Danio rerio: one gene and its partner. The protein of the gene in region 1 interacts with the protein of each later gene in a biochemical or structural test. Links are inferred from orthologs where the notes say so. Each region holds a gene or a part of one and is shown in the gene's direction. Other genes may lie near its edges. The genes, in order: thap12b and dnajc3a.

Region 1 (17,811 bases):
GATGAAGCATACCCAGTGTTTGCATTTTGTTAAATTAGATTTTGATTAATACCCTGGGCCAGACAGAATCTGCAGACATTTTTAATGCTGTTTCTGTGCAGAATTTTGTACAAAATCTATAAAATTGTGGAATGATTTTGAGAGTATACTAGTAATTATCTCTACACATGTTTTTTCAGCAAAATTATAGCAAATCTTTCAGATATGTACTAAAAGACAGAAAATATAACTTTACAGAACTGAATTGTACATTAATCATATACACTAGGGCTGCCCAATATATCATTTCAGCATCGATATTGCAATGTGAGCGTCATCAATAGTCCCATCACAAAGCTATGCAATGTTGAATCTGAATTATAGTCGGCCAGGAGATACAGAATTGCATTTAATCGCTATATTTATGTGGAATTAATATGAATGTTCTGCAATTTTTGTCTTGTTTCTAGTACAAATGTCTACATTTCAAAGCATAAGCAAGGTTATTTTAAAATTATTATAAGGAAAAACTTTTAATTTTTGAGTATTTCTTCTGACAGTGAAAGCTAAACAATAATTATACTTTGTCTAAATTGTATGTTATTTGGACTACAAATGAGACAAAACAAAGGAAGACGAGCATTATTTTTGCATTGTTATTTTTACAATTTCTTAACTAAATACTGCTAGACTTCCCAGAAAGTAATACAAAAAAAAAAAAGAAAGTAATTCAAACTATCTTGTAAAACTGTTTTCATTTCACAATTTTTAATCACAGAAAACTAAAATATTTCAGTATCAGATTTTTCCATTATCGTGCAGTCTCAATATAAACATTTGCATTTTCAATATTATTACAGAAAATTTCAGAAAAACGATTAAAAACAAGATTGAATATTGAATGGCATTACCTATTCAATTTGTTTCCCTGTGTTTATTGCAGAGGCACATGCCCCAGTGCTTTCGTGACCCCACTTTAGCTCCTCTGAGGAAGCTGTCCATAGACCTGATCAAAACCTACAAACACATCAATGAGGTAAAGTTCATTTTACTGCTGTCCACATTTTTTTTTATGATCCTTACTATAATAGTGCACTAAATAGTTGAACATTTGTACCTCAGTATTCTTTTAGGAAGTTCTTAGATTTATAAATAAGACTGTTATAAGTACAGCAATGCTCAAGGAGTTTTATTTTGACTGATCCTGATTGTATAGGTGTATTATGCAAAAAAGAAACGACGGCATCAACAGGGTCAAGGTGAGGACTCCAGCCACAAGAAAGAAAGGAAAGTCTTTAATGATGGCTATGATGACGAGAACTACGATTACGTTGTCAAGAATGGGGAAAAATGGATGGACCGCTATGAAATCGACTCTTTGATTGGAAAAGGGTCATTTGGACAGGTATTTTTTAATCACTGGGATAGTTTCATATTTATTTAGAAAAATTTTTGAATTCATCGTTTCACAGTTGTTTGATTATCTGATACGAAAATTATTGTTGCGTGAATGCTATTTTTTTTTTTAGGTTGTAAAAGCCTACGACCGAGCTGAGCAAGAGTGGGTAGCTATTAAGATCATCAAGAACAAGAAGGCCTTTCTGAATCAAGCTCAAATTGAAGTACGACTTCTCGAGCTCATGAACAAACATGACACAGAGATGAAATACTATATTGGTAAGGAATTGTACTGAAAAGTATTGCATTAAATTGCAAGATCTTTACAAATGCTGCTATTTAACATATAAATGTCCTTATGTTTCTCTCCTCAGTGCACTTGAAACGGCACTTCATGTTCCGGAATCATCTTTGCTTAGTATTTGAAATGCTGTCCTACAATTTGTATGACTTGTTACGAAATACGAACTTCAGAGGTGTTTCTTTGAATCTGACACGGAAGTTTGCCCAGCAGTTGTGTACAGCACTACTGTTTCTCGCTACACCTGAGCTCAGCATCATCCACTGTGACTTAAAGCCAGAGAACATCCTGCTATGTAACCCCAAGAGAAGTGCCATCAAAATAGTGGATTTTGGGAGCTCCTGCCAACTGGGACAAAGGGTATCGTGAATCATTGTATTTATTGTGGAGGAAAAAGAATGGTGCAGAGATTACCTCAGTGTTCTTGAAGTATTTTTATTTTTCCTCTTCCATCAGATATATCAGTACATCCAGAGTCGATTCTACCGCTCCCCTGAAGTGTTATTGGGAATGCCATATGACCTGGCCATAGATATGTGGTCTCTGGGCTGTATTCTGGTGGAAATGCACACAGGAGAACCTTTATTTAGTGGAGCCAATGAGGTAATGAATTATTATTACCCAAATCCCTAAACTTCACAAATGTCAACTTTTAGGATTGACAGTCACTATTTAAATGTGGAAATGAATTCCCTAAAAAAAATGTGTGTATTGATATGTGCACAGAATTATGGGGTAATGCCATAGTTGACTGACTCTACAAAATTTAAACTGACAGTTACAGGACTCAATTATTTACCATAACATTGCTTATCATTTTAAATGAAATTCCATCAGGTGGACCAAATGAACAAAATTGTTGAAGTACTTGGGATCCCACCCAATCACATTATGGACCTAGCACCAAAAGCCAGGAAGTTTTTTGAAAAGCTGTCAGATGGAACATGGAGTATTAAGAAGACCAAAGATGGAAAAAGGGTATGTGCTGCTAATATTTTAAAGAGAAATTACCATCAGGTGATTTCTGCTGGAATGCTTGTTATTTTTCTTGTAAGTGCTAGAGTGTCTCTCTGCTTTTCTGCAAGCAGTACAAACCTCCGGCATCTCGAAAGCTCCATGCCATCTTGGGAGTGGAATGCGGTGGACCAGGTGGTCGTCGGGCGGGAGAATCTGGCCACGCAGTAGCTGACTACTTGAAGTTCAAGGACCTCATTCTCAGAATGCTGGACTATGACCCCAAGACGCGGATTCAGCCCTACTATGCCCTCCAGCACAGTTTCTTCAAGAAAACGACGGATGAAGGAACCAATACAAGCAGTAGTGTGTCAACAAGTCCTGCACTTGAGCAGTCGCAGTCATCAGGGACCACTTCTAGTACATCCTCAAGCTCAGGTGCTGCTACCCGTTCTGTGTTCTAAACTTTTTTTTTTTAAACAATATCTCCTAAACCTTTAAATACAAACCCGTTATGTGCCCTGACAACACATTCTGGCAACTTACTTTTAAGAACTATCATTGCTGGAAAATAACAATAACCATGAAGAAAAAATAGAGACAAATTTTTAAATTTGTTTATAACATTAAGAAAATGTTAAGGAAAAAATATCAGAAATTAGCAGCATTGAGCCCTACCCAGACCTTTGATGCACTGTAATTAATGCAATCTAGTCAGTAGGGCTGGGGGATTTGGCTTTAAATCAAAATCTCGATTAACTGAATATTTTAACTTGATTACGATTAATAATGATAATGATTTTTTTTATGATAATGAAATAAAAAAATAATAATTTACTGACCCACAGCGCTTTCCTGTTGCCATGCATGTGTGCTTCAGTGTGCTGTTTGTGTTTTGCAATAGCACTTCTGAAACGCTATGTGTCGTCACAACGTATAGTTACATTTTTGAGAGGTGCGCAGGTATGCAACCGTGCGAAGGCTGCACTGGACCATATGCATGCACTTGACGTAAAAGTATAATCAGTCTTAACATAGTGGGGTCACGTGACTCCACACGCAGTGAGGAAATTAATCGAAAAAAATTGACCTATTAAAATAAAATCGATTATAGATTCTAAATATCGATCTTGGTTTTTTTTTTTCGATTAATTGTCCAGTCCTACCAGTCAGCCTCTTTTTGCTTTCAAAGTACACAATTATTCCTGTGTGCGAACCAGTGTGCGGGTAAACCATGCTCTGAAAACTGGCTTGATCATTGTAGTGTCTCTGAGTGAAGCTAAACACTGTTTGTTTGCCTTATTTCCAGGAGGATCATCTGGAACAAGCACCAGTGGCAGAGCAAGATCCGATCCAACTCACCACCATCGGCACAGCAGCGGGCATTTCGGCACAGCTATGCCAGCCATAGACTGTGACAACCTGTGCCCTCAGGTGAGCCCCTGTGGCTTCTCTTGTCAAGTGGTTAAAGCGATTCAGAGTTTGACCTTTCTCACCGAACAGTGCTTTTTTCTGTTTCTGGTTTGTGCAGGCGAGACAGCCTTATCATCCACCAGTTGTATGGCCTGGAATCGTAGGACCAGAACCTGTCACTGTAGAGACTCATCCAGTCCAGGAAACCACTTTTCATGTGCCTCCCCAGCATCCCAAGGCATTGCACCCCCATCACCATCACCACCACCATCATCACCACCACCACGGACAGGTCATTGCAACGCGACCACGGCCACGACTCTACAACTCGCCCACCAACAGCGCCTCCACCCAGGATTCCATGGAGGTGGTGCACGGTCATCTGTCCATGACATCTCTGTCTTCCTCAGCATCCTCTTCCTCCACATCTTCCTCTTCCACAGGAAACCACGGCAACCAGGCTTACCAGCTCCGCCATCTTCCTGCCAACACCCTGGACTTTAGCCAAAACGGAAGTTTAAGTATGAGTATGGGTTTGGGTGCCTTCTCAAATCCCCGCCAAGAGACTGGTATGGCTGGAAATCCCACGTACCCCGTTGCCACAAACACAGGAACTGGTCACTTTATAGCAGAGGGACACCTGGGCATGAGACAAGGCATTGATAGGGAAGATTCTCCAATGACTGGAGTCTGTGTTCAGCAGAGCTCGATGGCCAGCTCGTGACTTTAGCTGAAATTGGTTTGTTTTGTTTTCTGTGTGATTTTTTTTTTTTTGTTTGTTTCTTTTGTTTGTTTGTTTTTTTTTTAATGGTGGTGTTTTCATTTTCTGTTTTTTCAAAAGGTGCATAGAGAATAAAAGCTGCTCACTTCAGATATCACTGAACCGCTACAAATTGAAGAGTATTTAAAAACAAAAGTCTATATGTATTTCCATCATTTTCCGTTGTCGATTTCTAGATGAGTTCGTAATGCAGCAGATAACCATAGTGGAACTGCCCATTCACTCAACTGCATACAGTACTTGTTCACCATCTGTTTCATCTAGATTTGTTTTAGTTGTCCCTTTTTTTCATTCAATACAGTGAGCATTTCAGAGCTGTGAGCTGTCGTACAGCTTTTTATATGTAAAGCAATGCAAAACATTTGTTTAGTTCAAACAAGTGAAACATTGGACATTATCATTTGGCTGGTCGTTCTTTTCTTTACCCTTTAAGTGAAACTTCTCTAAAGAGCTGTGTGTTTAAACCTGTAGCGTGTCAAGGAAGCAGTACTTGCAGTGATATTTCGTGTTGTCGGTATCGTGTAACTCTTGGAGCGGGGCACTGAGCTGCTGAGCTCCGCTGGTGTTGGGTCCCGAGACAGACAGACAGACAGGCAGGTGCAGTACTCTTCAGGCCTGGAGGACCGGCCGGCTTCGACTACGTACAGCAGCTGAGGAGGAGGAGATAATGATGGAGGTGTGCTGAGGAGGGGAGCAGATCCGGATCCAGGTGGATTTGGGGGCTGCTGTCGAGAACCCTTTGGCCTTATGACTTTTGGACCTTGACTGAAAAGGAGCTGGACTTTATCATTAAACAGAGATATGATGGCTGTCCTCTATTTTTCACGTTTAAAGAAAGAGTCCTTAATCGGTTAGTGAAGCTGAACGAGAATCATTATTCAGAGGCCTTTATTTAGCAAAGATTTTTCTCTTTTAAAGGACTCCAAATTGCAGGGTCTTGCTCAAACGTCCCTAATATGACTTCCTAAAATTGCCGAAGTGGGATTTCACATAGAAAGTATTCATTTCTCATTGATTGGCTTGTTTTTTTTTTTCCTTTCCCGTCAAGCATGTGGTTTCTATTGGAAAAACATCTGCATAAATTTGCCTCTTTGTGTTGAACACAGAAGATATGTAATGAGATTTATGTGACTGCCTTTTTTCTCCTCTTGAATTATGCTGTGAATCTTACACCAATTACTTTATTATGACCGTCTTTCTATTTTTTTCTTGTCCTTTTTTTTTGATATACCAAAGCTGTTGTTTTTTATAGCACTAGGTGTCTGTAAGAAATAATGTAGCAGTTCACCACTTCAGCCCGAGCCTCATCAGAGTCCATTTTAGTCTGTACACACTCTCTCTCAAACTGAAACGTTTGCTGAACTTTGTTTTAATGTTAACGAAATACTGAAATCGGTTTAATATATGGAAAAACCTCCCTGATTTGTTACCCTTTTCCTTTTGTTTTTGCTGTCAAGGGGAGGGAAGAGGGACACTGACGGTTACTCTGCAGGCTACAGAGTAGCTGAGAGCTCATACAAATGTATTCCGAGGAGAGAAAAGTGTTTTGTTTTATATTTACCTGGTCTATCAGTCAGTGATGCTGCCTTTTATACCTAATTTGATGAACATGCTAATTTCTACCTTTTTAAATCTAAGTGGCTACTTAAATTTATTTATTCAGGCAGTCTACTGTAGCTACTGTGACCTCTGCGTCTGAGTTGAATTTGTTAGCCAGTGATTGCTTGCCTCAGATGTAGTATTGAAAGGGAAGCGCTGCCACACAGACACTGGGCACATGCATGTTTCTGAAGAGGAGAAGTGTTCATAGTCACGTTAAGGATAGCTATGCTCACTCTCGTCTTTATATCAGAGGCTGTGAGCCCCCCCCCCACCACCACCACCACCTAGCTTCTCACTTTAGGTCTCAATTGAATTCTTCAGAGAAGCCCTAGTTGGCTCAATTACAGACAGTGGGACACTATCCTGCCGGAAAGCGTGTGGTGTTCACTCTTTTCCTTTAGCGAAGACGTCACTTTCAGACAGAATCATGTTTTTGGTATATTTCTTTCAACAGCTAGTGGAAATCTGAAGAAAAGGGGTTTACCTGAATGTTAGTTAAAGATGTTTTTGCCTATATATAAAACATTGGAGTGCTGTTTGCTGGCGTCGACATAAACATTCCAAATATCAAAATCTTAACAAAATGGCAGAAACTTTTAAAAGAGTGCACCTGTTTCAGCTGTTACTAAATGAGGTCTGATTTAGTGCAGTTTTCATGAAATGCAGCCCCTTTTTAATAGTTGAAATAGAATTTATGTATATATTTATATTTTTTTAAATAAAGGAAGTATAGAACTCACTACATTGCTCCTGCTGGTATGTCAATTACATTGCCATCTGTTTGCTTACCTGTTTATTCCCCCTTGCATTTTCTTTTAAAATCCCTCCTTGTCTTGGTCGATGGACCAAATTTGCTTTTAGTCAGATGCATTTGACATCAACAGGACAACATTAAAGGTAGGGCTTATGACTTGTACCGAAGGAATCTTTTCACAGGGTATGACGCATGTGTGTGTGTCCACACTTTTTATAATGCTCATGGTTTGCTAGGTCTGTTTCTCCCCTTTTCTTAGAAATGCATTCTAGGTAATTGTCACTGATACACAAGATCATGTTTTTTAATTCAACATTCTTCTGCCTTCTGATTATTATTTTTGAGTTTTCATATTTTCTTGACCCTTTTCATGCAACATGCACTATATAATTGAACAGCATGGGGAAAGGATAAGTGTCCACAGATTGTAAGCTCTAGTCAAGACTTTGCTGTGTATATGAAAATGCCCTTTGTATTATATTCAAACAGTCTTATGTATGATATATAAAAAATAACTTAATTGACGCGCTCTTGGCTTTTTTTCTTTATTCCATGGCTTGTTGCTTCACCACATCGAATCTAAACATTTCATTATAAACCTGTTAAAATAGTTGCTGCGGATTATCAAATCAATACACCAAAAAATCAAAAACTCAAAAATAAATTGGCGGATATTAAACTTTTTCAGTCAGTAAGTGGATGTTTAAGTGGCGGGAATTCTGATAAATATTGCGCGGCTCGTTGGTCTAGGGGTATGATTCTCGCTTCGGGTGCGAGAGGTCCCGGGTTCAAATCCCGGACGAGCCCACCTTTTTTTTTTACTTCCGAATATGAATTTGCTTTGACCTCACATGGTTCAAAATAAATGCTACGTGCTCAACTCCGACTGAAATATACGTCGTTTTGCTTACAAAGAACCATTGATCTAAATACAGAGATCAGACTAGTTTGATTCTCCGTCATGGCACTGTGTTCGGTTCTTTCGAACAGTTCATTGGTTCAGATTCAGTGATTCTTTACGTCACGATGTAATTATGAAATCACGCGCTGCATGCCGCTATGACAATGAAGAAAAGTAACACTTTTAAACCTCTGTTAAATAAAATTTGGCTTTTTAGTGGTTATAACTTTTTAAATGAATTAACTGTTAATTAAAAAAATAATGTTAACCTACAATGTTCAATGCTTACTTATTTCTTAACAACAGCACTGTACACAAACAATAAACATTCAAAAATAAAAGTAAAATTAAAGTTATAATTCATACCTCTACCTATAATAAAAGCTTTATTACTCAATTTTACACAGTAAGCTGCCTGCACACAACCCCAAAATTTAAACTTCAAATTTAGTACCACCCGTAATGAACTGTTTCAACAATAAAACACATTTATACAGCATCAAATGCTAATGGAAAACACCAGTGTTTCTTTAATTGTCACTTTAACTCTCTAAGAGTCGAGCACTGTCATATAAATAACATGAATGTCCTAGAAAACACCGGCAGGTAAGTGTTTTAAAGCAATGCTCTCAAACTCAATTCCTGGAGGGCCGCAGCTCTGCATATTAGCTCCAGCCACCTCCAACTCACACCTGCTTGACAGTCTCTAGTCTTGAACACCTTGATTATTTGGATCAGCTGTGTTTGATTAGGGTTGGAGCAAAACTGCAGAGCTGCAAGCCTCCAGGAATTGAGTTTGAGGCCTGATTTAAAGAAAATTGTGCATATTTGTGATTACTGCAATCCTTATTATATTAGCGTTACTTAATGATCACTCATCAGTACGATTCCATCTTTCCTATTGTAGATTAAATATTGGATAATGTGGGGTAATCTCAAATCATCTTACTAGTAAGTTGAGGACAGAGATGGCCAAGTTGCCGTCATGTCAATCGCTGCCAAACTAAATGTATCAAACAAGCTTGTGCTGAAAATGTATGTAAGGGAATGAGGGTCTGTTCTTAAGACGCCTAGCCTTTGCTGCCATCTACAGGATTTACAGGTCCTACTACACCAGAGGATCATGCAAGGTCAGAAAGTTGAAGAATTTTCGCTCTGTTTGATTGAAAGGAGAGGCACGGGTACTTTTATTATATCCTCTACATGTCAGGACTATAACCAGCCTGGTGAAACTTTATTAAAAAGTGGACCTTGTTACAGTTATACGCTTCATTTTCTATTAAAATGTGATTTAAATACATTTGAAGTACTATTTTTAGCTGGATTAGCTTGTTGGATAGTCATAACCACACTTTTTCATGTACCAAAATTCCAAAAATATTTTCTAGATAAAAAATAAAGAAATATGAAAAGATACTTATTTTAAAATACAAATTTATCCCATCATCTATTATTAGAGAAAAAAAAATGAATCAGTTTTCAATTAAACACAAGTCTATTGTCATTTAAGGCAGCATGGTTTGCCTCATAGCACGATTGTCTCACAGCAATAAGGTCGCTGGTTCGAGCCCCGGCTGGGTCAGTTGACATTTCTGTGTGGAGTTTGAACGTTTTCCCCGTGTTGGCGTGGGTTTCCTCCAGGTGCTCCTGTTTCTCCTCAAGTCCAAACACATGTGGTATAGGTGAATTAGGTAAGCTAAATTGTTTGCAGTGTATGAGTGTATGGATGTTTCCCAGAGATGGGTTGCAGCTGGAAGGACAAAAATTAGACAAATTCTGGACGTTTGTCAGTGAGGGGTGGGGTGGATTTTCGGAACCACCAGAACCCCCCTGGCTACAGGCCTGCTTCAGGCTGCTTGTATTTGTATTATAAACTTTACATTTTCAACTACCAAGCAGTGGCGCAGTAGGTAGTGTTGTTGCCCACAGCAAGAAGGTCGCTGGTTCGACTCTCTACTTAGTTGGTGTTTCTTGTGTGTTTCTGTGTTGTTGTCCCTTTAATCCAGGGTCACCACAGCGGAATGAACCGCCAACTTATTCAGCATGTTTTATGCAGCGGATGCCCTTCCAGCTGCAACCCATCACTGGGAAACACTCACACACTCTCATTCACACACATACACTTTGGACAATTTTAGCTTACCCAATCCACCTGTACTGCATGTCTTTGAACTTGTGGGGGAAACCGCACCCAGAGGAAACCCACGTGAACACAAGGAGAACATGCTAACTCCCCACATGCCAACTGACCCAGCCGAGGCTCAAACCAGCAACCGTCTTGCTGTGAGGTGTGACGTCGCCAAATAAATAAACATTGAAAATCCAAATAAAACCAGATTAACACCTTCATTAAAAAACATTGTTCACAAAATATCTGCCGAAATTGAAAATGAACTTAAATTATTTAATCAGTCTTGGCGTGGAAATGCAGTGAAAATGAAATGTTAAACCGGCAACTTCTTTTTATTTATCAATTTTACAAGGACATGGTGTTGTCACACAGTGAAAATTAAAATTTAATAATTTCAATTTTCATTTGACAGATATTTTGCGAACAGTTTTATAATTGTTAAGGGCATCCACTGTGTAAAACATATGCTGGATAAGTAGGTGGTTCATTCTGCTGTGGTGGCCCAAGATTAACAGTACTAAGCTACTCAGTACTAAGCTGACAAGAAAATGAATGAATGAATGAATAAAATCGCTGGAATTACCTTCCATACAAAAATAATAACGTTACATTTACAAAATGAAATTCATACTACATGCCCAGCACAACTAAATCTAATTTGTAAAAAAGTAAAAACCATTAATATTTTCACCAAATAAACTGGATTTTCATATTTATAAATCATGTTTTGAATTTACGAATTGGATTTTGTGAATGTGAATTTTGTTGCGGATGTATGACTTTTATTTGACAAAATTTTATTTATGAGACTGATCTGGCTCCACAATTCACTGAAAAGATCCGAATCAAAAGAGCGATTCGTAAATATCAACCGCTTTCAGTATGGCTGATGCATTGTGGGATCTAAGCGACTTGCATTGTGGGTAGACACGCCAACAATGCTAGTGCCTCATAGTTACGCGCCTAGTTCAGTTTTTGCAACGCTGAAATGATTAATTTAGTGTCATCGTAACTAATAGAAACTTAGTCTTCATCAGATCAGACACAATGCCAAATTTTTGTGCCGCTCCGAACTGTACTAGGAAAAGCACCCAATCCGATTTAGCTTTCTTCAGGTTTCCACGGGATCCAGAGAGGTAACTTAACGTTACGACTGTTTTTACAGCTTTATAACACTGTCACTGGCGTTCAGTAGCATCATTATATCTAATTAATTATTCATGAGGACTTATTCATGATCATATTCTTCATATCAAAACGCTTTGTATTGATGTCGATTGGGGGTGCTATTTTCATAGATGTTCGAGATGTTTACCCTATTAAGTTGTGCATGATCGTGCGTGTTTGGTTACGTAGTAAAATAAAGTAAATATTGTCAGTTTTGGTTTTCCCACTTGAAAAATGCTGTATTGTTTATAGTAAAGTATCTAAATCATAATCAAATTACACAATTTGTACAACTTAAATTCTACCACAATACAACACAATTTACTGTAGTAAATACTAAATGTAGGTATAAGATTCTGACGGCATGATAACCTTCACAGTATTGGGATTAACGTTACTGCTTTAAAAAGATATTTTTAAATGTGTGCAAAAAAAAAAACCTTTCCCACACTGAACCCAATGTTTTTCATTTTAGAAAACGTGCATAATGTTGGAACTGTACACATGTCAGTCTTATTAACTAAAATAAATCATTGACTTTTGCTTTCTTCGTTAGTTTCAAAAACAGATTTCCTCACAACCTGAAAAGACATTGTGTATCTTTTTTTCTCTGAATGTACATTAAACCACCGCACTGTTCAGGTCTATAGCATGTTGGGATGTTGCTGTATAAGTGATTTGTTTTTCAGATGTTTCCTGAATCATTGGCTGACTCTTGATGTGGAGTGGACTTTTATGCTGGATATACTGTTGCCCTAAAAAGCCTGCATAAAGTAGTAGTAAAAAATGTTAAAAAGGAATAATAATAATAGAAAATGTTGTGGTTTTAAAATCTAAACTGTTCTAAACTGCGGTAAACTTTGAAACTGGTTATCGTCCATGAGTACACTGTAAAACTCAACAGTGAACTTTCTCAAATGAAATGAGTGTAGTTAACTCAAAATTTACTGAAAGATAATTCTACTCATTTGAAAAGAGTTTTAAACTCCGTATTGAAGGCAATGAGTTAATTAAATACCACATTACTTTAACTAAAAATGGAGTAAGTTCACAGTACTCGTAGAGATCAGTTTTTAACACAAATGGTTTGTAGCGATCGATTTTCTCAAACAGTTTGAGTTGCCTTAACTTATTGGGTTTTACAGTACACAGTTGGTTTAAGTTCTCCATTTACTGGGTTTTACTGTGCTTAAATTGCTTCTTTTACTCAAATGGAGCAAGTTACAGTAACTCATTAGGATTCGTTTTTTTAACTTAAATGGTTTGTTGCAATCAGTTTCCTCGAATGGTTTGAGTTACCTTAACTTTTTGGGTTTTACAGTGTAGTAAAATCTAAACTATACTACAGTATTTCTGTGTTTACTATAGTTCTGATAAAACAAACTTATTATAATTATATAGTTTTAATAATATGGAATGCTGCTGTATCCATAATTAACAAAGAGTTTTAAAAGCACTACACTATGAATTTTAAGTTACTATAGTATTCTTTTCACATGGAGTTAGGGCTGCATGTTCCTGGAAAAATGTAACATTGCAATATTTTTTATTCTGCTATATTGTGCATCTGAAAAGTATTCATAGTATCCATTCACTTTATTCCACATTTTTTTATTTCGGCCTTATTCCAAAATGGATTAAATTCATTAATTTCCTCAAAATTCTACACACAACACCCCTAATGACAATGTGAAATTTTTTTTTTTTTAAATTGTTGCAAATTTATTAAAAATAAAAAAGCTGAAAAATCACATGTACATAAGTATTCACAGCCTTTGCTCAATAATTTGTTGATGCACATTACAATTACAACCTCAAGTCTTCTTAAATATATGTTGCCACAAGCTTGGCACACCTGTCTTTGGGAATTTTTGCCCATTCCTCTTTTCAGTACCTCTCAAGCTCTATTAGGTTGGATGGGAAGTGCTGGTGTACAGCCATTTTCAGATCTCTCCAGAGATGTTTAGGTCTTTAGGTCTGGGAGAGGATTTAGATCTGGGCTCTGGCTGGGCCACTCAAGGACCGAGTTGTTGTAAAGCCACACCATTGATATTTTGGCAGTGTGCTTTGTGTCATAGTTCTGCTGGCAGATGAACCGTCGCCCTGTATTGTAACATTAAGAAAAACATGGAAAAAGTGAAGCACTATAAATACTTTCCGGATGCTCTGCATATTGTGATGTGAATACGATTTCACTAGATGTATTGAATAACTGTTTGGAACGAAATTATAATTTTAGATTTACTGGGATAATTCTGTGAAGGAGTTCATTAAATACAATGAAAAATCTACAAGCATAGATGAATTCCTTATAGAAAAAGGTACTAATTAAATAAACAGCAATTTATTGTTTTCCAGAGGAGTCGATCTGTATTCAGGTATGCAGTAGATGAATAATCAAATGTAAAATTATACTGCATAGTCTTTGTTTAATAAACAATTCAATCAAATTAATTGTCATTAAATTAAAAATGATACAATTTAAAGTCTTCACGCAGTCACAGGCCTCAAAAAAGGCTTGTGAAATTATAATCCAGACTCAACATTGCTTATACACGCGATGTGACTATTGCGAATGATCACATTGTGATATCGATGCTGAAACGATATGTTGTGCAGCCCTGTATGGACTACATTTTTCTAATGACTTGAAAAAGTTTAAACGCTTTGTCAAATTAACCAGTAAATTGTAACGTTACATGTGTAATTTATTTTTTAAATGTTTTCTTCTCTAAACCTATGAATAAGTGTTACAAGAGACTAGTCATTGTTTATTTCATAAACCTTTGTGCTTTGTTTTACTTCACAGATGTAGGCTGTGGGTGGAGAACTGTCGGCGTGCAGATCTGGAGGAGAAAACCCCTGATCAACTGAACAAGCACTACCGACTGTGTGCTAAACACTTTGAACCAGCCATGATTTGCAAAACTGTAATGCAAAATACTTCATCATTGTAGTTTGTCTTTAAGATATTTAGTAATAAAGCAGGAATCTGTTTATTTTTAATCATATTATTTTCTTATTGTCTGAGTCTTTGATTTGTTGTTTTAAATGTACACGGATCAGTTAAGTGTTTTTGTTTCGGTGTTTTTCAGAGTCCATATAGGACAGTACTAAGAGACACTGCTATACCCACAATTTTTGATTTAACCAGTCATCTAGGCAACCCCCACAGCAGACATCGCAAACGCATCAAAGTTTTGGTAGGAGAAGTTTCTTTTTCATGTCCTTTGTGTGACATATTTATATTCTGTAGAGTTTACCACCTAATAACTTGTTATTTTTGAGGTGTAAAATTGAAAACCTGCCCAGTATTTCTTATGTTTCTTGTATAATTGTTGTTGATAAGTAATAGAACAGAAAACATCTGACATAAAGTGATGCTTCATTCTTGCTTTCCTCAGACAGATGAAGAGGTACAGAAAATCAAGGAAAGGCGATGTAAGTATATATATTTGATTTTGGACTAATAATACTTTTAAAAATCACACTACAGGCCATGAATCATGAATATTTATAATAACACATATCACACATTGAGTTGTATGATTCTGGAATTCGGTACTAATCGATACTGAAATTTAAAAACCTCCATTTAAAACATTTGAGCGCTGTGGAGCATGTTCTTAAAATCTGCTGATTTGCCATTGGGTTCACATGCTCAACAGAAATGACTGGCCGTAAATGTCATCAGTTCAGTTCACCAAACTAGAGGTCTGCAACTAGAGGACCCGACCAGCTTTCTTGCGGCGTGGCATGAATAAAATGCAGTAGTGGTAGAGAGCTCTTGTGTAAGTTAAACGGGAGCCGGGGGTCTGACTATATGTCTGAGAAAGAGAGCGAGAGCATCCTCCGTAGTGCTGTGTATGTGTCTGTGTCTGTGTGTGTGTGTGTGTGTGTGTGTGTGTGTGTGTGAAGGAGAGAGAATGAGGGAGAGCACTACTGGTGTGCACCACTGCCCTTTTTGCAATGTCTTGTTTGTAAGCAGCAACGCTGCACTGCTTTGTCAATACGAATGTACAGTTATTGGTCATGCCAATAAAACACCTAAATGTGAATGTGACAGCACATTCGTGGCGACGCAGTGGCGCAGTGGGTAGCACGGTCGCTGGTTCGATCCTCTGCTCAGTTGGCGTTTCTGTGCATGTTCTCCCTGCGTTCGCGTGGGTTTCCTCCGGGTACTCTGGTTTCCCCCACAGTCCAAATACATGTGGTACAGGTGAATTGGGTAGGCTAAATTGTCCGTAGTGTATAAGTGTGTGTATGTGCATGTTTCCCAGAGATGGATTGCGGCTGAAAGGGCATAAAAAACTAAAAACTTGCTGGATAAGTTGGTGCTTCATTCCGCTGTGGAAACCCCGGATTAATAAAGGGACTAAGCCGACAAGAAAATAAATGAATGAATGACAGCACGCCCGCCATGGTGCTGTGTGTGTGTGTGTGTGTGTGTGTGTGTGTGTGTGTGTGTGTGTGTGTGTGTGTGTGTGTGTGTGTGTGTGTGTGTGTGTGTGTGTGTGTGTGTGTGTGTGTGTGTGTGTGTGTGTGTGTGTGTGTGTGTGTGTGTGTGTGTGTGTGTGTGTGTGTGTGTGTGTGTGTGTGTGTGTGTGTGTGTGTGTGTGTGTGTGTGCGCGCGCGCGCGCGCGCGTGTGTGTGTGTGTGTGTGTGTGTGTGTGAATGAGAGAAAACAAGCGCAACCACCATGCTCTGTGTGTGTGTGTGTGTGTTGCTTGTAATAGGCTAACTGAACTCTGTAACATCTATACAGTTTATAACATCTATAACATCTATATATGGGTGTTTTTGGGAGTCCTATTTAATCACTATACAATCTTCTGTGGCCCAATATGCACCTGCTACATGTATAGAAATAATGCTGATGTGAAATATGAAACTCAATCAGTAGTTGACAAATATATTGAGTGGATATGTTTGCATATCTGACTTTGAAAGAGCCTCACCAGCCACAAACGTCACCACATGTCACGTGGCACTCATGTCTCATCACAGAGGGGCAAACAAAACTGACATTTAGCTTACAATCCTTGCACAGGCTACACTTTTATCTGTTATCTCTCTCTCTCTTTCTTTCGGTAGTGTTCAATTTTTACGTGAGATTTTGAAAACCAGATCTAAATTTAGTGGGAATGGTTGGGTAGAAAATGGGGCGGGTGAACAAAGACTGAATATGCGGCTGGAGCAGTCTGGTGCGTTATAAAACCTGGCGGGAACGGGATTAAAATTTCAGTCCTGAAGCTGTTTGGACAGACATGTGTAGGTATAGTGTATAGACCGTCATATTGGGGTGATACAAACACACCCAGTCCTTTTTTTTTTCAATTTACCAACATAAAAACAGTTTGCAAACATGTTTATTTTTCATTGCGTCTACCTTAAACTTCAGCTGTTTTTTCTTGCGCACACAGAAGCTCCCTGTGATCCTAACTAGGTGCAGCTGGAAAGTGCGAGATTTCTGTCAGGGTACACACAATGACGCTTCCAGTCGGCAGCTGTCCATGGCGCCCAGCCACGATTCGGGAAACCTCCTATTTCAGTCGTGCCACAGAGCACCATCTGAATAGTTTCATATTAAATAACATCCGAATGTGCGTGTCTGGTGTTCCGTGTCGTGGCTCTGAGCGATGCATCTGGTGCCTCAGTCAAAGTTAATTCAGTGTGCGTGGTTATTAGTCTCAGTGTACAAGCTCGGAACTTTAAACTAGCAGTTGGCTGTAAAACTATACGAAGACAAATGCTTTTGCACTCTCTGCTTGGTCTATGTCCAAGTCATACATGCTGAATGCTGGTCCTCTCACTCATGTTGCTCACTCTCTGTCTTCCTGTCTTTTGCCAAACACAGAGCGGGTGCGCTCTTGGCCCTTGTTACATTGGACGGGAAGTCGAAACTTATTTTCATGTAAAGCAACACGCCCCTAAAACAGCGCCCTGTGTACATGCCCCCAAAATAACACTTCTGAACACATTATAATAAAAAAATCTGAACTGTGTTTTGAACTGAACCTAAACTGGCACACTCAGAAGAACCATAATAATAAATCTTAAAAAAGGGGTAAACTATGTGACCTTTATTAATGCCTGGTGTAAAGCAAGGCCTTTTTGAGGATGTAATATTGACCAGCTGATATGGATGCATTAGTAATGTAATTTTGACATACTGATTTTCATAATCAGAAGCTAAAAACGATATGTTGGCTGATAAATACAGATCTTAAAACACATTTTCTGAGCCTGATAGCAATTACAAAATGCAAAGAAATCGTTACCAATAACATTAAAAATAAACATTTATTTAGCAAAGTCACCACCAGGCAACTGTACATTACCATCTGATTTAAAATGTACTAAAAAAAGCTTTGTCTCCATCTTTTTAGTGGAGTCTTCAATTGAACAACTCTCGAAAAAAGACAGTGAT
Region 2 (16,057 bases), on another chromosome or scaffold:
CTGCAAAAACTATAAACAGTACATATTTCATATTACTATTAAAATAAAAAGCAAACAACGGATTGCATTTGAGCATTAGCTTGTCCTGTTGACAGACGTGTGTTTGGGATGTGGACTCCAGAGAGATGCGGGCCGAGTGCTTCATTCAGATGGGGGAGCTGGGCAAAGCTATCAGCGACCTTAAGGCTGCTTCAAAACTGAAAAGTGACAACACTCAGGCCTTTTACAAGCTCAGTACCATCTATTATGACCTGGGAGACCATGAGATGTCCCTCAAGTAAGACAACATCTTATTATTTGTGTATTAAGCCTACATTTACACTACTGTCTTTATTTTATTAAGTCTTATTTGAACTATTTTAAAAGCAGAATAAACTAGAATAAAAGCAGTTTTTGATTTTTTATATAAAACATTTTAAGGTCAAAATTATTAGCCCATTTTAAGCTATATTTATCAATAGTCCACAGAACAAACAATTATTACAAAATAATGTGCCTAATTACCCTATACTGTCTAGTTAACCTAATTTGCCTAGTTAAGCCTTTAAATGTCACTAAGCTGTATAGAAGTGTCTCAAAATATCTAGTCAAATATTATTTACTGTAATCATGGCAAAGATAAAACAAATCCGTTATTAGAAATGAGTTATTAAAACTATTATGTTTAAAAATCTTTTCTCTGTTAAACAGAATTTGTGAGAAATAATAAACAGGAGGGCTAATAACTGGACTGACACAGTTTCAATTTAATATTATCTTTCATGTTAAGCTGCTTTGACACAATCTACATTGTAAAAGCACTGTAGACATAAAGATGAATTGAATTTAGTTGAATAATTCTGACTTCAACTGTATATATAACAATCATAGGCCTACCTACTGTATGATTGATATTCAGGCATTTTTATGTGCATATAAGTTCTCTCACAAATGCGTGTACACAAATGATAAACAACGATAAATTAGCAAACATATGTAAATTAGTAAAAGAACTGATACACAAGACACATTTCTAGTGCCAGTTATTGCACAATAATGAAATACCTGCGTTATTACACCCCACAGAACATTTTATGCTTTACCACTCCCTCTCATAAAAAAATAAAACATATTGGCAATCAATTATCTAGTGATCATCTTCAAGGCATTCAAAAGAGGCTGTCCATTTCTGTAATTTAACAGTAGTTTTAATGACTAATTTTTAATAATTTGATGATGATGATGGTACATTATCTTGTACTAGCTATTTCGCAAGACAATAGTATTAAGCTATTTAAATTGAAGTTTGCTAATTAGGTTAACAAGGAAATTAAATCAACAAGGAAAAGTAATCGAAATTAAGAATCTATCAAATTTTTCAAGGATGATTTTTAAAATTACTTTCCCTATTGCATGTGGAGTCGCGTACATATTTGAAAATAGTAAAAAATATTTATTTATTTTTTTTTTTTTTGTGTTTTAGTCTGTATATTATGCAGTAACATGCATTGATCCAGGAGAAAGTGAAAGTAGTATGTTTTAAAATAAAAAACACACAAGTGTAAATGCAGCCTATGTCTGGGAGCTTGGAGTTCCTGTCTGCTACAAAACATATTATACTTTGAAGATGTAGTGAACTTTTGTCTGCTGGATCCATTATTTCAGCTTTTGTTTGTGTGTTCAGTGAGGTGAGGGAGTGTTTGAAACTGGACCAGGATCATAAGCAGTGCTTCAGCCACTACAAACAAGTGAAGAAGCTCAACAAGCAGATTCAGTCTGCTGAAGAACTTATCCAGCAGGAGAAGTACGTCTTTCTAAATCTATACATTTTTAGGCTACATCTGATTTTGTGTTGTTGCTTTTTTTTTTTTTTTCCAATGCTATTAAAATGATTTATAATTGTATTAATTATATATGATACTGGTACTTCTAGAGACTGAAATAACACATCCCAGAATGTATTTTATTATATAATCTTGATTTTAATTACATTAGTAAATGCATTTTAATGAATGTAATATCTGTGTCTTTTAAATGGACATTTTGAGATAACAATGAAAATATAGAGCTGACTATATTTAAAAAACAATTGTTGCTATTAATAGAGTGGCTCATTTTACTAAATATTGCATTATACTATGAAGCATAAATGCTAGAAAATTTTGAAATACTCATGAATGCTAATAATGCATGGATGGCAGTGTATGTTATTTCAATTATGTATTATGTAATTATGTATCTGGCTACACACACACCCACACACCCAGTAGGGTGGGTGATCAAAATACAGTAAAACTGTAATAATGTGAAATGCAGATTTACAGTTTGATATGACTGACTTTTTAAATATATTTTACAATGTAGTTCACTATAATGGTATAGCTGAATGTTTAATGTTCATCATTGCAACATGATCTATATAATGGGATCATGATATACTGATTCAGTGTTTAGAAATAATTATTTAATTAATATGAGTAATTAGATGTATATTACATTGTAAATGTAGTGCAGAATAGCTTAGTTAAAATTGTAAAAACTTTTTTTAGGGTTTATTTGTGGTAAAAAAAACAACGATGTTTTATGGAGAAAAGTTCTGAAAACAGCATTTATTTGAAAAAAAAAAGAAAAAATAGTATTCCACTAATTTTTGCTAAATAAAAGTAGCCTCGCATTTTTTTTATTTGTGCAGGAAATTTTAAGTATTTGAAGTAAATGTACACCTATTGATCAACTGTCTAAATAATCTAAATGTTGTTTGTTTTCGTAAATGCACAGGTACAGTGATGCAGTCAGTAAATACGAGTCTGTTATGAAGACTGAACCGAATGTTCCCCACTTCACACTGAACGCTAAAGAACGCATGTGCCACTGCTTATCAAAGGTGAGGATGAGCTTCTGTCCACAAGATGTCGCTGTCAGCTAAAACATACGCTGCGTCTGTGCTGAATTAACATACTGTAAGTGAACAGGTTTCACTTTTATTTCACAGGACCAGCAAACCGCCAGAGCCATTTCAGTGTGCAGTGAAGTGCTAAACACTGATCCTCAGAATGTCAATGCTCTGAAAGACCGAGCTGAAGCTTTACTGCAGGACGACCAGTATGAAGAAGGTACTGGAAATACTGAACAACACCCACCCAAAACTACACTACAGGGATTTAAAGACATATAGTTATGAAAAATTGAACGATTGCTATTAAATAAAAAATAATATAGACCATTTTGAGGGACGTAAACAAAAACGATGGTCCCAGCCTACTTCCTCCTTCAGATCATCTAAAAAGAGCCACATATTGATCAATAATGTTATGATGGATGTTCTAACTTTAATTTATGATTGAATTGCCTCTTATTACAGTTATAAGGTTTCATAACAAGCAGGAAATGTTCATGGGCCAATGACCTGACAACATTGAAATGGACTATATGAGTAAAAATGAAAAATCTTTGTTAGGTACATTTTAAAAACGCATTTATTAATTTAAGAATAAAATAAAACACTTTCTACATTATCAGCCTTTAATATATTTTCTCTGCTGATAATTTTATTTAAAGCTCATTTACAATTTGTTTTAAAAAAAACAGGAAAATCTTGAGGCCAATACAGTGTTTGGGCTTTATTTTGATGGTCCATGCGCAGAGCGCAAAACGCAGGGCGCAAATGCTTTCAGGGAGTGTCAGGACGCGTTTTTGCTAATTTAAGGACGGAAAATCTGCCTTGCGCCGTGGCGCATGTTCTAAAAGGGTTGAGTTTATTTTCTTAATAAGTTATAGGTGTGTTTTGAGAATAAACCAATTAGAATCTCATCTCCCATTCCCTTTAAGAGTCAGCTGCGTCGCGCCAATAGCGCATTCGCTATTTACAGGAAGCAAATAAGTGGAAAAAATGAGCATTTCACTAGCAAACAGTTAACAGTTTTTAACAGAAAACTGTTAAACAGAGCATCTACTGCGTGATAATGAGAGATAATGGATCACTTTCAATTTCGCTCTTGGATAGGAACAACCTTTACGCACAGACATCAATTAGTCTATAAATAAATACTTTTGTTTGTTAAGAGCAAAGATTAGTTTCAAAACTATTTCTAAATTCATTTCTAATGTCCAGCAAACGAATAAATGAATAATAATAGCAAAATGTGCTCAAAAACCTGAGTTATATCCTAAAACACATGCTTTGCCCCATATGGTCTAAAACCTGATAGGTGGGCAAATCTAAGCTTGTTTTTAATAAAACAAATATAAATATGGATATAATAAATAATACTGCTAATAGTAAAAACATTACACAAAAGCAAATTGTTATGAATGAACTGAAAAAGCCTCCTGAGATGAAGAAGACATAAAAGCAGTGGTTTTTCATATTTATGTAGGCTAGAAAATAATGTTTTGTTATATTTTAATCCTTTATATTTATATTCTATATCTATTCTTATTATATCCTATATATATCCTTAATATTTAAATTTTTTCATATGTAAAGATATTTGCCTATTGCTCTCTTGTGCGTATTAAGCAGTGCGTAAGCGAGGCGCAACTCTGCGCTGGAGTTTATACCGGGTTAGTTTTGGTCTAATGAAAAATCTATTATAGATTCTCAAAATAGCAACGCGCCAGCGGTACGCCTCAGAACGCCTTCCTTTTTAGACCAGAACGCCTATGGGCGCAAAAATGAGCGCTAATGCAATTGCTATTTAAACAGCGTAGAGCAACGCCTCAAAATGACTCTTGCGCCAAGCTGAAACTACCAAAAGACTACTGCGCAACGCCTTGCGCCACACTGCGCCGAGTGTATGATAGGGCCCTTTGTGTTACTATTGAGACATTTTTAATGTCAGTGTTATTTATTATAAATTATAAGTAGTTTTTGCTCATGTTATAAATATGCTCATTTAAAAAGTCTTATTTGTTTACAAATATTACATACAGTTAAATTGAAAACATGCTTTGCCAATTAAATGATAAAACGTGTATATATATTAATTATGACAAGTTAAACATTAAATCCATTTTAGAGTATATTATCAGCACTTATTTATACTTATATTTGTACTTTTCAGCATTTATAATTTAAAGAAGTTTGTCATGTTGTCATGTAGATATCGGTCCATAAAATATGATATAAAATGGATTAAAGTTATGTTAGTTTATTTATAAGAAATTAAATATGTCAGTTGTGTATTACAGTCTATATTTTAGACAAATCTGAAGGATTATCTGTAAAATATCCTCTTAAAAATCTGACTAATGTTAGTTAATGCATTTATTAACATGAACAAATGACAAAATATATTTGCTAAAGTATTTGTTCATGGTTGTTAATGAAAATACAATTGTTCATTGTAAGTTCATGTTAATTGATGATGCATTAACTAATGTTAACAAGCATGAACTTGGTTAATAATGCATTAGTAAATGTTTAATTTTGATTAATAAATGCTGTACAAATATTGTTCATGTTAGTGTGTGCATTAATTTATGAACCTTATTGTAAAGTGTGACCTCACGATCATTAATGTTTCTAGAATTCCTCATTTTAACTATAAAACAAACTCTTTTGAACTCTTTTAATGTTTCCTCAAGATTTCTCATCAAAATAACTGACAGAATTATGTCCTTTTTTTCAGCCATTAAAGACTTTCAGAGCGCTAAAGAGTACAGTGAAAACGACCGGCAGATCAAGGAGGGTCTGGAGCGAGCCCAGCGCCTCCTCAAACAGTCCAAGAAGAGGGATTACTACAAGATCCTGGGTGTCAAGAGGTTTGACAACACGCATACACTCACACACCATGACTCTCAGTCAGATGTTCATCAATGCAGAGGCCCGATAATAATGAATGAACACACTCAAGAATGTTTTGTGGTTGCAGAACGGCCCAGAAGAAGGAGATCTTGAAAGCCTATAGAAAGCTGGCACAGCAGTGGCATCCAGACAACTTCCAGGATGCAGAGGAGAAGAAGAAGGCAGAGAAGAAGTTTATAGACATCGCTCAAGCCAAAGAAGTCCTCACTGACCCAGGTACAGTTTAGTGTCATGGCTGGTTTAAAAGTCACCAAAAATCAAAATCATCAATCAGAGAGGACTGTTGCACAAAATGAGTTGAACAAACTCTGGGATACAGAATAGGCCAATCTTTGGGTTTACAAAACCAAACAACTCAAATCTGGTGGTCTTAAAATGCTTGAAATAAACTTTCTCTGTTATCTCAGGGTTTAATCCAGAGTTAGTGGACTGCACACAGCTCACAGTGTGACACGTACAGCAAACAGCCAATGAGAGAGTCTGTTTGATTTATTTCTGATGAGAGCAATTCACTTCTGTGTTGAAAATTTAAGAGATTTTATAATCAGAAATATAATGAATTGAAACACATTTTACAGACAGAAATAATATTTTGTGGCATCAGCAGATGACTATTTAAAGAAAATATTATATCTGTACAAATCAACTGATATTTGTAGCCTCACAAACCACTTAACATTTCTATTACTTATCTATGTGTATATTAAAGCAACATTATGTGTAAATATTTCAAGTTTAGGCTATTACTAGTATTGATTGGATACAAGATTTTTATACTGAGAGCACATTGATGGATACATTATAGGTTATTTATCATATATCGAACTGAAAACTCTTACCTAATCATGACTAATGTTTTTAATGTCAATTAATTTTACTTTTAAATATCTTAATTAACTGTGAAGTTGTTGTTATTAATATGTAATGTTTTATCTATATCGATCTTGTCATGAATGAAATGGCCATAAGTTGCTGATATGGCAGTAAAAAGCAAACAAATGAATAATAATAACTCAAAACTATTAATATTATACCAACTATACTTATGAATTAAAATAAATATTAGCATTAAAATACAGTTTTCACTCATAAAAAAAAATTGGGAGTTTGGGATTGATTTGCTCCATCAGCTATAGTACTGTATATGTTTTTCTTTTGGCTGAGATATCCCTTCAAGTAGTTGACAAATCACAAGAACCTAGCCTGTTTGACCAATAAAAAGGAGAGAAAACTTAAAAAGGGGGGGTTAAAAAAACTTTAATGATTTATTTCAGACCCTGTAAGAAGAGAGCTAATGCAGTAGTGTTCATCGTTTAATTTAACTGTATTGACTTTGGATGCTTGTTAACCTTCTAAACAAATCTAGTAACCTTTAAAATGGCATATTAGGAGCGGTTTAATCTTAGTAGTTAACAGTGGTGGAAAGAGTACCGAATAATCATATCCGGTGTAAAAGTACTATTTCTGGCCCAAAAATGGAGTGAAAAAGTATTTGTTGTAATCACTGCTTAAAGTATGATTAAAAAGTAGACCTTCCAAAAGTATTAATGAGTAGTGATTATTACGCTGTAAAAAGTTGATGCGTTTACATATAATTTGTAGATGTGTGTAAACGTAAATTTCTGTAGTGCCTTTACTTATTGCCCAGCAGGCACACAACATCATAAGACGTTAATATTAAGTTAGATTTAGGTTGTGATGTCAGGTAACCAAAATTCAATGTTCAGCAAATGTCTTAGGACAACATTATTTTGATGTCCAATAATGAAGTTGATATTTCGTTGATTAGGTTGTTAGAAAGTGCCCAAAATCCAACATCAAATACTGACCTTTATTCGTCAGGTATGGCAACCAAAATCCAACATCTGATAGGCGTCACAGTGGTAACATCCACACAACGTCAAGCTGTAACATCATTAGATGTTGACTTTAGGTTGGACATTGATGTCAGCTTGAAATTGACTTGTGACATCAACCCGATTTTTATTTCCAAACAAAAGGCATTCCTCAACATTGCGGTATAATGTCAGTCTGACGTCTTGTTGACGTTTTGTGTCTGCTGGGTATCTAAGGGCATTTCGGTCATTGTATAGTAAACATCCAATCATCATCTCATCAGTGACATTCATCTTAAGTCTCTGGGTCAATGTGTGTAAATATTTTGAACATCTTCTTGGACACTTTTAATGGTTGCAAACAGTTTGCTGCAATTATAAATTGCCCATGTCTTGAGGTAGTTCATTATGAAGCGATTTACCTTCTATGTGCAACTTTGATTGGACAGGAATCACAGGTCTTATTTTTCTAATTCCCGTAGACAAGAAATAATAAAGTAGTGACTGTAGGTAGATGGAAAGTAGTGGAGGTAAAGTACAATACAGCACTAAAAATGTACTCAAGGGAAAGTAAAAGTACACATTTTTAAAACTACTTAGTAAATTACTATTTCTTAGAAAAACTGCTCCATTACAGTAGTTTGAGTATCTGTAATTTGTTACTTTACACTACTGGTTGTTAAGCACCTGTAAACAGTGTCATGCTATTCATTTCTCTACAGAGATGAGGAGTAAGTTTGACCAGGGTGAAGATCCCATGGATCCTGAGAGTCAGCAGGGTGGAGGACATCACCACCACTTCCATGGCGGCTGGGAAAACTTCCAGGGGTTCAATCCGTTTGGTTCTGGACCTTTTAATTTCAAATTTGGTTTCAACTAAGGCTCTGCTGAAGGACCCGGGGCCTGGATATATGCTGGAGTCAGCAATTGGGAACTTGAGACCCCTCACACACAGGAGCACTTCAGATGGGACAAGCGCCTTGAAGCTCGTGGTCAACTGATCTGTGAACAGCTCCTCTACTACAGGGATCTCACAGTCCTGAGTGCACGGTCAATGTGCGCATCGACCTTTACATTCCTGAGAATCACATGTACATAGAAAACAGTATTTTTCTATGAATCAAACCAAGCTGTAAATAATTAAATAAAGAGATATGAATGCTTATTTAAATTACCTGGGTTTTGGGTCTTTTACTGAAGAGCATAGAGGCATTTAAAGAAATATATCACCCAAAAATGAAAATCCACTTATTTTCTTACACTCAAGTGCTTTTAAACTTCTGTCGAACACAAAACAACAAATTCTGAATCTGAACAAGGTTGGAAAAAGCAGCCATTAATATTCATAGTAGAACAGTTTTCCCCCAACATTCTTCAGTATGCTATAATAAAAAAATTAATTAAAAATCTAGGTTTCAGAATTCTTTCGCGTTGTCCTAAAAGAGGTGGTCCACTATGATATCATATTTGAAACCTTAGTTGATGTGTAATGTAGCTGTGTGAACAAACAACATCTCTGAATGTATTACGCTCAAAGTTCAATGCAAAGGAGACATTGGCTTTACAGAGTTAGCTTAGCAAAGCCTACAGCAAACAAAGTTTGAGGACTACAAAAAACATCCAGGCTAGTGAGATCACATGGGCTTCTGGTTCTGTGCATTCACTATGCGCATACACCCTGTCCAGTAAAGGGGCGCTGTAATGTTATAGCAGAGAAAACTGAAATGCTGTCCAAACGCTGCTATTGCCACAAAGTTTGTTCTCTTTCTGTATTTGGGCTTTAAACGGACACGACACAAAGACAGAAGTGCTTACAGTTTAATTTTAATTGTGTTCCAGAGAATTATAAAAAATATACAGCTAGCATTTGACAATGGACAGCTTCCAGAATCTCCCTCAGTTCTGTGCTGGATTCTGATAAAAACTCCAAACTCCTCCAACTGATGAAGCGGTGGATTGTGAGCCACAACCTGTTAGTATTTTTATTTGTTAAAATTAATCAAATCCATGCACATTATCTAGCGTTACCGCTGTGTTGTAGCAAGAATGTAAACAATGGGAAATGAGGTTCAGCTGTGTCCTCTTCATTTTCTGTCTGATTCAGGCTCAAACTGATACAGCTAACAGCTACTCTGACTGAAAGTGTTTACCTAGTGCAAAAGCATGTGCTTGAAGATGTGTGAAAATTTTCCTGGTCACGTAAAGCTGATCTGCGAATCACGGCACATTAAATTAGCTGCTGGCCAATCAGAGCCCCTTGAGGGCGGGGGTTTCAGAGGAACTAGGATATATGACAGTCATTCGTACATGTTAGCCGAGTAGCTGTATATAATCAAATATATATATATATATATATATATATATATATATATATATATATATATATATATATATATATATATATATATATAAAAACTAATTTTATACAAATGAAGCATGAGCACACAATGCTTTGCATCTTATCAACCCAACCAAGCCTTATACATACACTCTGGACCACCCTTTTAAGTAAACGTAACATTGTTAACATTTACAAATGTAAGTGGTCCGAACAAACAATTAAGTTGTCCCAAAAAAACACTTAATTATTGTGTTGTTTTAACTTATTTCCAATTATTCTGAACAAACAGCAAGTTGTTTGAGTGTATATACTCCTTTGTGTTCAACAGAAGAAAGGAACCTGTTTCTAACAAGGAATAAGTAAATAATGACAGTTTTTATTTTTGAGTGAACTATCCCTTTTAAATTAATCAAATTTAAAACACCAGCAGTTTATAAACAGGCTTTCTCCACCTCAGAATAAAAATATCACTTTATTCCTGAGAAAATCACTGAACATCAAGGCATAGAAACAACATGTACAGAGTCATGTACAACATGTCAATGATGAAATGCAAGAATATAAATAATCAGGGAATGCTGGAAATCAGCTTCAGTAACTGTCATTCAGAAAGGTCTTCAGATCAGATATGCAGAACTGACAAGTTTTGACAATAACAAATATCTTGATGTCCTTCATTTGGTTTACAAATGAATGATTTATTCTGGAAATAGTCTTCTTCATAGTGTTCAGTTTTTCAGTACTCAAACATGAGTTGTAATTAATCAGAATGTATTAGTTATTACTGAAATTGTCATATACCCTTCAATTTGCACGCAAACAAAAGTATTGTACAGTTATTTACTGAATACAAAAAGGCCATGTGAAACAGAACAAACATGTAACCGTTTTCTCTGAAGGAATGTACACAATATTGACATGTTTCTCCCTTATAAATACTTCAGATAAACACCAGTGCCTTTGCAAGTTCATGAGCTGGCCAAAAATATCAGATTTCTTCAATGCTCTTCAACAGCGTTTTATAAAAAGCCAAGACATGTTTACAATTTGAAATAATTCAAACTGAATCTTCCTTCAAAATCACATACATAAAATTGACATGAAGTCCTTTAAAAATGATTTCTGTCGTGGAAAACATGGTTTAAGATTTACAGGACGAGTCGGTTTTCTTGAGTGCTAAAGTTCGTCACGTCGATTGCCTGTTAAAATACAGATGTTCATGAACTTTGCTTCAATCACAAGGATTACTGAAGTATTGTTGTGTATTGATTAGAGTTACCTGTGTGCTGTGTGGATGCTTTACTCTGGGTAATTTCTTTTTTCGCTTCTTTCAGAAAGCGTTTTATCTCATTGTCATATTCCGTCCACTCTGAAACAATCCTCACCGCTGCACTCAGCTTGGGCTCTTTGGTCCTTGGGTTATTACACTGCAACAAATCAAGCCCAAAAAGTCAATTGTGTAGGCGAAACACTTCCTTCAGCTGTTTTAGCAGAGCTTTTATTTCAATTTTTGAGGACTTCAAGTGAAAACTGTCAGTACTGTTCACCTGTAATAGAGGCTGATGTCAACACTTTGGTCATTTCTGATTCACAGAGCACATTTTTACATTTACTACAGCACTTTCAATGCTGTGGACACAAAGTTTGGACAATTTACATCCAATATCAGCTTAAAATGGTTTTTAAAATGGTATTCAGACCCACTTGAGAACTTTACTGTAGATTGTAGTTGATTAATACTTTATTTTGATGGTCCATTTGAGTATTAGTAGACTGTCTGCTTAATATCTGCTGATACTGCTCCTTCAACAGACATTTAACTGACTAGAAGAAACTTTGCAAGTACATGTCAACTTACACCAACCCTAACCCCAACCTAACAGTCTACTTATAATCTAATGAGAATTAGTTGGCATGTAGAAGCAATGCGACTCAAATTCAACAAACAGACCATCAAAATAAAGTGTGACCATATAATCTGTGTTATGTTTACAACAAATATTGTATTTTAATATTTAATATTTCAAAGAATAATTTTTAAAGGGTAAAGATGAATAGAAACAGAAATTTGTCCAGACTGCTCAATGTATTGACTGGTACTGTAGGATTGAATTGAAATTTAGCATTGCAGAAATAACAAGCAAAAGGATTTCCTGCAAGCGATAGAACTGCAGATGATAATTATTAGATTAAAGTTGAAAACATTTACATTTACTTGTAAGTTTGAAAAAAAAAGCTTAAAAAAGCTTAAAGTCTGAAGTTTTCAACTATTAGCATGTTGCTATCCTTGTATTTAATTCAATTCATCTTTATTTCAATAGCCCTTTTACAAGATTGTGTCAAAGCAGCTTAACATAGAAGTTCTAGTAAATTGAAGCTGTGTCAGTCCAGTTTTTGTAGCAAATTAAAGTATGATATAAAGTTGCTGACATTTCTAAAGTTTTAACTCATTGCTAGTGTTTCCATAGATATAGACTAGATATTGCACACGAACCCAGAGTATGCATCAGTAGCGCTGCCACATATGTACAGTGCTCCCAAGACAAACGTCCTTCAACTGCAATAGTCAAGACTAAAGCCAATCTAAAGATGCTGGACTGTAGCGTTGTGTACGGGTGTAGTAATGAGCAGACAAAGAAAACAAAGCATAAAGGCATCACATTTCATAGGTAAGATCTGGGTTTTTATGATTTTATATGTTATGAATGTTTGTGCTCAACAAGTAACGTTACTGATGATAATAAAGTCACTTACTGCACTGACTATCAGGCAAAGTAGCACCAACTTGCTCGAAATACTGGACTTCTGCTAGTTTTGTTGAATAAAATAGGCAAACAATGTAAATGAAATATGACAAGACACTGTACTGTCAGATATTTGTATTATTGTCAGCTAAGTGAAGTGACGCTAGTTTTTAAAGTAACTTATAAGGGTGTCTGATTACAAAACTGCCTGCGCCTCAATGTGCATACTGTACACCCTAAATTATTGAATATTACATATGTTATATACCATTTAGATCAGAAAGGTGAATATGCACATTGAGCCACAGGGATATCGATGCTTCACACGAGTCATTTATAATGGGGATTCATTCACAATATAATCGGTCCCTCTGAATTAGAAGTGAAAGCAGGAGAGGGGGTGTGTTTCAGGACATAGATTAGATCAAGTTTAACAGGTAGGGTGGATAAAACATTTCCATGCACTCAAACACATGCCCTTTGTCAGCAATATGTGATCACTTATCCATCAATGTAGAAAAGCGATAAAGCATAATTAAAAATATATATATTTGCATACTGACCACTGGAAAAACTTTCAATCATAGACATATGTATAAATATTTACATCTCTCTGGCTCTGGATGGCCAGTCCTCCACTACATCTTGGTCCCACATTCATTGCAAAGGAGCGCTACCCTGTACTAAAATGGCGGCTCTATTGACACATTCCTTCCAATAAACAACAACAGCATAGGCGACATCTAATGTATATATCTATGGTGTGTTTCTTGCATGATTTGTTTTAGCACATTGCTTTTGTCTCTAGCATGTTTTGTTTTAGCATTTTGCCAGCATGTTTTTAGCATGATTTGTTTTAGCACCTAGCTAGCATGTTGTAGTTGTTAGTATGTTTATTGCAAGTTTCGAACATTTTCGAAACTTTCGAACTTTTTGGCTTAATCCCTTTATTAATCAGGGGTCGCCACAGTGGAACTGCCAACTTATCCAGCATATGATTTATGCAGCTGATGCCCTTCCAGCTGCAACCCATCACTGCGAATCATCCATACACACTCATTCATACACTAAGGAAAATTTTGCCTATCCAATTCACCTATACCACATGTTTTTGTACTTCTGAGGGAGCACCCGGAGGAAACCCACACCAACACGGAGAGAACATGCAAACTCCACACAGAAAGCCAACTGACCCAGCCGAGGCTCAATCCAGCGACCTTCTTGCTGTGAGGCGATTGAGCTCCCCACTGCCCCACTGTGCTGCCCCTGCTTTAAAAACAAATCTGGTATAATCATGAACTACTTTTCAGTTAATTTATACATTTAAGTTTATTTTAATCTTTAAACTTTTTTTCTGATTATCTCTATTTCTGTTTAACAACAACAAAGAAACTGACAAGAGTTTGGAAATTAAGTAAATGAATATATTTTCTTTTTGGGGGAAAAAACAACCCTTTGTTATTTAAGAATGTTTGGTATTATGTGTATGCATTACATCTTTAAATAAATTGAATTAAGACCATATAAACACTATGGAATGGTAAATCAATAATAATAATATAGAGGGTGACTGCAAACACTAGTTGACAAAGCAAGACTAAAATAAGTTACAATTGCAAACATTCAGTTTGTGTTAATAAAAATAACCCCTGCCTGCCCCTCACATGGCTGGAGTAAAGCTTTAATGAGGAGCGGATGGATTGCAGTGGTAAGCAGTGCAGTGAAGCCTGTTCCCAGACCTGTGCTGTGCGCTGCAGTCCACACAGCCACCGCCGCCTCTAATGAGACCATTCCCAGGAGCAGAAGCAGGAACAGGGTGTAAATGAGACTACTATTTTTGTCATTCTGTCTATGTGTGTGTGTGTGTGTTAGCCATAGTGGGAATGGAGAAATCTGGATTTTATCAGACTGCAGGCATTTCACCTGTATATCATCTCACAAGTCGACTTTTTTGGTCAAATTAAATGGTAATTTATTTAACACAAAAAAAATGTAAATTAGCAACAAAAATACAATAAGTCAGGTTTTCTAGAGGCTACCAAATATCAGCACTTTGTACTGTGTACTGTATTGGTAATCTTGTTATATTTAGTAACATTCATATCCGGTCAAATCCAGTTTATGGAGGGCCGCAGCTCTGCACAGTTTAGTTCCAACCCTGCTTCAACACACTTACCTGTAGGTTTCAAAGAAGCCTGAAGGACTCAATAAGTTTGATCAGCTGTGTTTGAATAGGGTTGAAACTAAACTGTGCAGGGTTGCGGCCCTCCAAGAACTGGCTGACACCTGTGTACAAATGTCCCGCTGCTGTGTGCTTGTGTTGAATAGCAGTGTCGTGTGCATGTTAACTAACCAGATCTATGGTCTTGGCTGTAGTTTTGGAGTGGTCGTCACACCAGGTCTCGCACCACAGCCACTCCTGGGGCAATGACTTGATGGCAACTTGATGGATCATGTTGTTGGGAAGGTCCTGTTAGCATCAGACACCAATGAGAAACATTCAGTTGAAGTCAGAATTATTAGCCCCCCTGAATTTTTAGCCCCCCTGTTTATTTTTTCCCCCAATTTCTGTTAAACGTGGAGCAGTGTTTTTCAACACATATTTAAACACAATATTTTAATAACTAATTTCTAATAACTGATTTATTTTATCTTTGTTATGATGACAGTAAATAATATTTTGCTAGATATTTTTCAAGACACTTCTATACAGCTTAAAGTGACATTTAAAGGCTTAACTAGGTTAATTAGGTTAACTAGGGGAAAAAAAATTAGCTTAAAGGGGCTAATAATTTTTATCTTAAAATGTTTTTTTTATTAAAAACTGCTTTTATTCTAGCCGAAATAAAACAAATAAGACTTTCTGCAGAAGAAAAAATATTATCAAACATACTGTAAAAATGTCCTTGCTCTGTTAAACATCATTTGGGAAATGTTTAAAAAAAGAAGAAAAAAAAATCAAAGAGGGCTAAAAATTCTTACTTCAACTGTATATTACATGTAAGTGCTTGTCATGTGTTTTTATAATAAATAAATAGCAGATAGATTTACCTGGTCAAGGTTGGACAGGCTGTTGGGATCTTGGCTTAAGGCTTGATACTGTCCTCTCAGTCGGTCTCCAGCTGCGATCTTTCTGAACTTCTTCAAGTCCACCACATATAGTGCACTGGAGAGTAAAGAACACATTATATTACACATATCCTAATATTAAATGGTGTAGCAATCTATATCAAAGACGTATAAAAATATGATACACTGACATTAGTCATAAAAGGGAGAAATAATACACAAACTATGGCATTGATGAATAAAATGAATTGTGTCTTCTAAATAAGACTCGTTTAACCTGTCA

The links.
Region 2: the proteins of thap12b (region 1) and dnajc3a form a complex in vitro, tested with the Homo sapiens proteins (2 studies listed by BioGRID). The link is inferred for Danio rerio from reciprocal best matches to the Homo sapiens genes THAP12 and DNAJC3.

Annotation. Positions count from the first base shown.
Region 1 is NC_133190.1:22,344,616-22,362,426, forward strand, and holds the start of thap12b (THAP domain containing 12b), read left to right. Parts: upstream 1-10,249; 5' UTR 10,250-10,306; coding exon 10,307-10,371; intron 10,372-11,193; exon of another isoform or gene 11,194-11,261; coding exon of another isoform or gene 11,262-11,350; intron 11,351-14,190; coding exon 14,191-14,311; intron 14,312-14,476; coding exon 14,477-14,584; intron 14,585-14,785; coding exon 14,786-14,822; intron 14,823-17,770; coding exon 17,771-17,811. Other genes in the region: dyrk1ab (dual-specificity tyrosine-(Y)-phosphorylation regulated kinase 1A, b), read left to right, coding at 923-1,015, 1,196-1,384, 1,509-1,656, 1,752-2,038, 2,135-2,281, 2,516-2,656, 2,767-3,070, 3,942-4,066 and 1 more. UniProt on the Homo sapiens protein: Upstream regulator of interferon-induced serine/threonine protein kinase R (PKR). May block the PKR-inhibitory function of DNAJC3, resulting in restoration of kinase activity and suppression of cell growth.
Region 2 is NC_133184.1:31,149,853-31,165,909, reverse strand, and holds the end of dnajc3a (dnaJ homolog subfamily C precursor), read left to right. Parts: intron 1-95; coding exon 96-277; intron 278-1,663; coding exon 1,664-1,783; intron 1,784-2,757; coding exon 2,758-2,863; intron 2,864-2,971; coding exon 2,972-3,092; exon of another isoform or gene 3,093-3,588; intron 3,589-4,782; exon of another isoform or gene 4,783-5,609; coding exon 5,610-5,742; intron 5,743-5,852; coding exon 5,853-6,001; intron 6,002-8,342; coding exon 8,343-8,500; 3' UTR 8,501-8,791; downstream 8,792-16,057. Other genes in the region: uggt2 (UDP-glucose:glycoprotein glucosyltransferase 2), read right to left, coding at 11,138-11,160, 11,241-11,388, 15,059-15,175, 15,757-15,871. UniProt on the Homo sapiens protein: Involved in the unfolded protein response (UPR) during endoplasmic reticulum (ER) stress.